Ovis aries: one gene and its partner. The protein of the gene in region 2 interacts with the protein of the main gene of each other region in a biochemical or structural test. Links are inferred from orthologs where the notes say so. Each region holds a gene or a part of one and is shown on either strand. Other genes may lie near its edges.

The links. The genes of interacting proteins can lie anywhere in the genome.
Region 1: the proteins of LYN (region 2) and FASLG form a complex in vitro, tested with the Homo sapiens proteins (2 studies listed by BioGRID, with this or other methods). The link is inferred for Ovis aries from reciprocal best matches to the Homo sapiens genes LYN and FASLG.

What each region holds. Positions count from the first base shown.
Region 1 is NC_056065.1:39,431,123-39,435,209, reverse strand, and holds the start of FASLG (tumor necrosis factor ligand superfamily member 6), read right to left. Parts: upstream 2,808-4,087; 5' UTR 2,598-2,807; coding exon 2,262-2,597; intron 1,176-2,261; coding exon 1,130-1,175; intron 1-1,129. UniProt on the Homo sapiens protein: Cytokine that binds to TNFRSF6/FAS, a receptor that transduces the apoptotic signal into cells. Involved in cytotoxic T-cell-mediated apoptosis, natural killer cell-mediated apoptosis and in T-cell development.
Region 2 is NC_056062.1:36,228,777-36,232,288, reverse strand, and holds part of LYN (tyrosine-protein kinase Lyn), read right to left. Parts: intron 2,844-3,512; coding exon 2,712-2,843; intron 1-2,711. UniProt on the Homo sapiens protein: Non-receptor tyrosine-protein kinase that transmits signals from cell surface receptors and plays an important role in the regulation of innate and adaptive immune responses, hematopoiesis, responses to growth factors and cytokines, integrin signaling, but also responses to DNA damage and genotoxic agents.

The DNA.
Region 1 (4,087 bases), on a different chromosome or scaffold from region 2:
TCTCAGCCCCATTCCACAGCAGAGGTCTTGGGGACATTACTAATCCATCTGGTGTTTTGCTTCTCTTCTGAAAGGTGAGAAGACTGGACCAGATGTTCTCTAACCTCCTTTCCATCTTAGTTTAACGAGTATTCTAAATCCACAGTTTCCAAAACTATGTCCTGAAACTTTAGGAGGCCGATGTTCAACATTGTCATCTTCCTGTCCTGAATTTCACACAGAGGATTTCCCTTTATTATCAAAAGCAGCGCATGATTGTCTCTGAGTGAAGTGGGACTACCCTCTGTAAAATGCCTAACGTCTTCCTCCAAGCTTTCCAGCGGCTGCAAAAGAACCACCCTAATGTGGATGACTGGTTGCCCACTCTTTAAAAGCTTAAATATAACCTATTAAAATTTTAAATCAGGTCTGACTCTTAAGTAATTTTTTTTTTTTTTTTTTGCTATTGCTAAGTCACTTCAGTCATGTCCGACTACGTGTGACCCTATAGATGGCAGCCAACCAGGCTCCCCCATCCCTGGGATTCTCCAGGCAAGAACACTGGAGTGGGTTGCCATTTCCTTCTCCAATGCATGAAAGCGAAAGGTGAAAGTGAAGTCACTCAGTCATGTCCGCTTAGCGACCCCATGGACTGCAGCCTACCAGGCTCCTCCATCCATGGGATTTTCCAGGCAAGAGTACAGAGATTAAATAGGAGAGCAAGGATCTTTCCCAGCAACAGCTGTGTCTGTCTGCACCTTCCCTTCTCTCCTGAGGAGCTATAGCCACCGCCCTGTACATGGGAATCAGGAGGCCTGAGGAAGGGGGCAGGCCTGGAGCCAGCTGCTTGGGGTGTGGGGGGTGGGCAAAGGTCCAGGGTTGTACATCTGTGTTTCTCTTTCCAAATTCAAGCAGAAATTAGTTTTGAATTTTTCTGTGATACTTAACTAATTTTGAACAGTTAAACTCACTTCATATTTTAGGGCAGTTTCAAGAACCAAAATGACAAGAGATTTCAGAATTGGTTAGGATTTCTCTTCTATAGTCTATATATGCCTAAGAATAAGGTGGAATTCAAGGTACTCCTCCAACATGGTTGGTGCTGAGGACTGTTTTTAGAAACTCAACGTGCAAGCATAAAAAAACTCACCTATTTGCTTCTCCACAGATGATGCTGTATGCCTCTGGCTGGTGGACTGGCAAAAGAGAAAAGATACATAATAACTAGATAGCACATTCAAAAGCAGAGACATTACTTTGCCGACTAAGGTCCGTCTAGTCAAGGCTATGGTTTTTGCAGTAGTCATGTACGGATGTGAGAGTTGGACTGTGAAGAAGGCTGAGCGCCGAAGAACTGATGCTTTTGAACTGTGATGTTGGAGAAGACTCTTGAGAGTCCCTTGGACTGCAAGGAGATCCAACCAGTCCACTTTGAAGGAGATCAGCCCTGGGATTTCTTTGGAAGGAATGATGCTACAGCTGAAATTCCAGTACTTTGGCCACCTCATGAGAAGAGTTGACTCACTGGAAAAGACTTTGATGCTGGGAGGGATTGGGGGCAGGAGGAGAAGGGGACGACAGAGGATGAGATGGCTGGATGGCATCACTGACTCAATGGATGTGAGCCTGAGTGAACTCCAGGAGTTGGTGATGGACAGGGAGGCCTCACGTGCTGCAATTCATGGGGTCGCAAAGAGTCGGACACGACTGAGCGACTGAACTGATGAAGTTCTTTAAGCAAAGGAAGAAGAACTGTCAAATAAACTAAGCACTGGAAAGGGAATCTAAGCACCCAGAACCTCTCCTAACTCAGACTCTGGCCAAGCAATTGTGCCTGTCCATGCCTCAGTTTTGTGATTTGAAATAGTTCTAATAATTTTAAGCACTTTCAAGGAAATTTAGTTTGTGCATTTGAACAAATTCACTTCTCAGATGCCAAGTCCCTTTTCTTTCTTGAATCGAGTATGAGGTAGGTAGCAGAGTTCTTCCTCTCTCAGATGATCAGCCAACTGATCATCTGCCAGTCCTGATTTGATCCTGATCCCTCCCAAGATAGAAAATATTCCTTCCACCCATTTGAGCCCCCATTTCTCTGCAGGCAGAACAGGATGGCTAGCGTGATTCATTTCTAAGACAGGAAGAAAGGATTGAGAAGTATGCTGCAAGCCAAGTGTGGTCCATGTGGATTTCTGTCGCCCTCCTCCCCCACTGCAGCAGGGCAGTTTCACCCCATCCCCCACCTCCGCACATTCCAGGGTGCGGCAATCCCCCAGGCAGCTTACCTCTCTGAGTTCGGCCAACTCCTTCTGCAGATGGAAGAGCTGAAATATCCCCAGCCCCAGTCCAACCAGGGCCACCAGAACCATGAAAAACACCACAAGGAGACACAGGCCTGTGTTGTGGCCCCTCCTCTTCTTCAGAGGTGGTGGCGGTAGTGGAGGCAGGGGTGGCGATGGCGGTAGTGTTGGGGGTGGCGGTGGTGGTGGCCTCCTTTGCCCCGGCCTTCCTGGCACTGAGGACGGACAGGGGAAGACTGATCCTGGAGAGGCCCAGGGGGAGCTGGCACTGCTGTCCACCCAGAAGATTGAGGGGTATGGGTAATTCAAGGGCTGCTGCATGGTATCCAGTGCCTCAGGCCAGCCCCCAGCCAAGGGTTTTCCTCTTCCTCAGTCGTGCGGAGGCCCAGGTGTCAAGGGCCGGACTCCTATTTCTGACTGCTCATGAGAAGGAAGCCGGTTCTCTCTTTATAGAGTTTCCAGAACCAAGGGAAACACCTCTCTTTCGTTCTCTCTTTCTGCTTCTCAAAGAGACACCCACTCACTCTGCATCTGAACCTGAGAAGCTTCAAGAAGCTCAGAGCAAACCCCCGGAAGTTTCCGCCCACAACTTTCTGATGAAAGCTTTCAAAACCCCAGTCGCTGCTGCCCTGCTCCCTGAAAGGCTGGTAGGGTGGGCTCGTTGTCCTCAGGCCCTGAGACGGGGGTAGCGTCAGCGCAGCTCTGTAGGCTCCGGCCGCTGTTCAGCTACAAGGAGAGTGGCCTGTGGGGCGAAAGCACCGAGTCACGGCCAGAGGAGTCACTTCTGGGTCTTACCTTTGGCAGGAGGGAATCACCCCCTGCTGCCATCCCTCCCCCACACCCAAGTACTGTTTACCCTGACACAGCAAAGCACCGTAGTTTACAGGTTACAAACTTGCCTGCCTACTCTATAATAGATCAGAGATTGCAAACCAGTGGCCATATGCCTCACAGAGCCCTCAGACCTGCTTTGCTTGTGCCTTACAATGTTGTTTATTTCTATTTACCGTCCTCCTCAAAAAACGGGATAGTCCATAATGCAGACATTCATCTCTGTTTTGCTGAGTCTAAAACTTAGGCCAGAAAAGCACAAGATAAACCAACCACAGATGCCTGGGGCAAAAGATTACCGTTGAGACTCACAGTGGACTGCTGTTATGGACTGAATAGTGTTCTTCCAAAGTGTAAGCACCGAATCCCAATCCCCAGTGTAATTGTATTTGGAGATAATGCCTTTAAGGTGTAATTAAGGTTAAATGAGGTAGTCTGAGTGGGACCCTAATCCAACATGATTAATGTCCTTATAAGAAGAGGTAGAGGGCTCCCTTGGTGGTCCAATGGTTGAGAATCTGCCTTGCAATGCAGGGGACACATATTCCATTCTTGCTCTAGGAAGATCCCACATGGCATGGGGCAACTAAGCCCTACAGCTGCAACCACTGAACCCACGTTCCCTAGAGCCCATGCTCTACAAAGAGAGAAGTCACGGCAATGAGAAGCCCATGCTTGTCTACAACTAGACAAAGCCCACACACTGACAAGGAGCCAGCATAGCCAAAAATAAAGAAATAAATACTTCCTGAAAAAAAGAAGAAGCGGTAGAGACAGCAGGGAGGCATATGTACACAGAAAAGGCCAAGTGAGCACACAGCAAGAAGGTGGTTATCTGTAAACCATGAAAAGAGGACTCAGGAGAAACCAGCCCTACTGACTCTTTGATCGTGGACTTCTATCATCCAGAACTGAGAAAATAAACTTTTGTTGTGTAGGCCATTCAGAAAAATTGGGATAGTCCATATATGTTATAGTCA
Region 2 (3,512 bases):
AAGGACATTTCTGTAAGCAACGTAATCCTATAAAGGAGGGCAGTACGAAGAGGCTCTAGGCAGCATTCAGCTGCCAAAGTAAAAACCAGTGAACGTGATAAGCAGAGACAGAGCGAGTTCTCTTTAACGACAAAAGGATGTTGGACCTGACAGATCTTGTGAATAAACAAGCCCAATTCTAACATTTCATCTCACTGTCTTTTGCACTATTTTTTTCCCCCAGCTTCTAATGGTAATTAATTAAAAAAAAAAAAAACCATCATTTTCTCACCTATTATCTCCCAATACTTTTTCAAAATCAGCTTTTCATTGCAAGTTTACTTAAAGAAGTCAGGATCCTTAAGTGAGCTAGACCAACTGTTTCATTTCCACTCCTCAAATTGTCCTCAGGACAAGAAGAGGCAGAGCTCGGCAGGCTCTGGGGAGGGAACCAGCGTGCCTGCGTGCTACGTCACTTCAGTTGTGTCCGACTCTTTGAGACTCCATGGACTGTAGCCCACCAGGCTCCTCTGTCCATGGGATTCTCCAGAATACTGGAGTGGGTTGCCATTTCCTTCTCCATGGGATCTTTCTGACTTAGGGATCCATCCTGTGTCTCTTAAACATCTCCTGCACTGGCAGATGAATTCTTTATAACTAGCTCCACCTGGAAGCCCAGGGCACCCACTATTCCTGCCGGGCTCTGCAGGATTGCTGACTGTGGAGGATGGCTTTTACTCTAATCACTTGTCTCAGGTTAGCTCAGACACTGAACTGTCCGTCTTTGACACTGAGAAGAGCTTTAAGGGGAAAAAAAAGGTCATTTTAATAGTATTTTTCTCCATCATTAAAATGGGATAATAAAACATGCTAATTCAGCCATTTTAGCAGCCTTCCCTGGTGGCTCAGTGGTAAAGAATCCGCCTGCAGTACAGGAGACCTGGGTTTGATGCCTTGGTTGGGAAGATCCCCTGGAGAAGGGGATGGCAACCCACTCCGGTATTTTTGCCTGGAGTACCCACGGACAGAGGAGCCTGGCGGGCTACCGTCCATGGGGTCGCAAAGAGTTGGACACGACTGAATGAATAAGCAACAACAACAACAGCAGGGGCTGGAGGTGGGTAGGTGGGTCGGGGAGTTAGGGTCTAATGGGTACAGTATCAATTTGGGAAGATGAAGACGTTCTGGAAATGAATGATGGTGATAAGTCCAGTGGGTGAGGGCAAGGTGGCCAGGATTCCATAGGAGGCAGTGATGCGGCTCTGGGCCAAAATCTCCTTCTCTGAGCCCCAGAGCCTTGTCCACAGATCACTGTGGAGCATGCAATACCTACCACACAACACTTGTAAGGTTGTATGTTTATTGATCAGGTGTCATATATAGGCAAAGTATATAATCTTTCTCTATAGGTTGCAGATTATAGATAGATATCTGGGCTGATTCAGAAATACCGTCCCCATTTTGCGGTGGTTTTATTCATTAACTTCGGTGTCTAGAGCAGAGCAGCCACCAGAATATGAAATCTGGCACCGGAGGGTTTCACGGGACCGTCAGCCCACTGTGTAGGCCCCACCCAAAGGCTTCCCCCTCCCGCCAGCCCTCTAGGCCCAACAGCAGCAAAGGTGACTAGGAGCCTAGAGGCCACATCACTGCTCCGCCCCAAAGTCTCCCATCTCTTGCAAAGTCAGAGGTGAAGCCCCTGGGCAGCCTCTGAGGCTCACATCCGCTCCACGTCATCCCCACACCTCCTGCCCCTGCTCGGGACCGGTGCTCTGGCTGTTTCCCCCATGGGACACCCAGCCCCGGACAGCCCCTGGGGCTCTCTGCCAAGGCACTGAGTCCCTGCTGCTACTGGATCGCTTTTAGAACCTGCACCCCACCCCCTCACCCCAATCCCTAAACCATCACACCCTCCCCCAACAGCATACTTCCCATCCTACATACGGTCCTTATTATCAGTGATTATTACAAATGATTGTAATTAATACTCAACCATTAGCTCTCAAGGGAGGAGCTGGGACTGCTCCATCCAGCACCTTGGGAATGCTTAGCACCCTCAGATTTTTGAATGAGGGAATGATTTAAACATTAAAGGTTTACTTTTAAACTGGCCATATCCATTGATTTTGTGAAAAGCCCAACATTAACAAGAAAGAGAAGGCTTTGGGGAAAAGTCCCTCTGCTTCCATGTTCTGGAAAAGGGACGGCTGGCAGAATCTGGCTGGGAAGATGCTAGGCATCTGGAAATACTGAATGACGTCCCCACAGCCAGTAAGTTGAGGATGTGAAGAATCATTTGTTTGCAGACAGAGGTGGTTGTCTCTTGAAGTGGCAGAGACTCCAAAGTACATTATACAAATCTCTGTTTCAGAACTGACCAAGCAAGAATCATACAGCATCATTTCTATGTCCGTTTCCTCCACCATCCGGCGCGAGGCTTGGGAGGAGCCCCGTGTCTAGTCCTCCAACCATGTTGCTTCAGCAATATCTGTGACCGCGCCAGGCACATTCAAGGCTGTTGGTGGTGGAATTCATTAGTGGATCGAAAGACATGCACTCAGACACGAAGGCGGAGAAGTGTCTAAGCATATTTTACAATACCTTCCACTAAAGACAAAGTTCTCACACCCTTGTCTTTCCTCTGGATATTTGTTCATCTTTTTTATGTCTCATACCACCTGGCTTTTTTCTCATATATATCCCGCAAATGGAAATAGGTAAGTAAGCAGTACCTGGGTAGGGAATTTTCCCATAGGTGACAATTTCGTACAGGAGAATCCCAAAGGACCACACATCAGACTTGATGGTGAAACATCCGAAGTTGATTGCCTCTGGAGCTGTCCACTTAATGGGGAACTTAGCACCTAGGGGAGAAGACACAGGGGCTTTACTTGGGTCTCTGAGCTGAAACGAAAAAGTCACAGGCGTGTGACTCTCACACTTTCCTTCTTTGAGGGGGAAAGTTTTGATGATTTATTTTGAATGGGTAACACATGCATATCCCAGGTGGCTCAGTGATAAAGAACCTGCATGTCAATGCAGGAGACCCAGGTTCAATCCCTGGGTCGAAAAGATCCCCTGGAGAAGGAACCGGCAACCCACTCCAATATTCTTGCCTGGGAAATTCCATGGATAAGAGGAGCCTAGCAGGCTACAGTCCATGGGATCACAAAGAGTCAGACATGACTGAAGCTGGTGAGCACACAAACACACAGAGGCCTGTCAAATTCTACAAAACCAATATAATAAATTGATCTCCTGGGTCTGAATCCTGGCTCTCCCACTTACTATATGGCTTCAGAAGCTTCTGAGCCTCTCCTTTCTCCTCATATAGAAGGAGGAAACAATACCCTACTTATCATATAGGGTTACTGTAGAGATAAATGAGGTAACGTATGAAAGGCACTTAGAACAGCAGCTGCCTCACTGCACAGCTCACTACCTGCTGCTGTCGACTGCTGGTGCTGTTGTTCAGCTGCTCACTTGTGTCTGGCTATCTGCGACCCCACAGACCGCAGCACACCAGGTTTCCC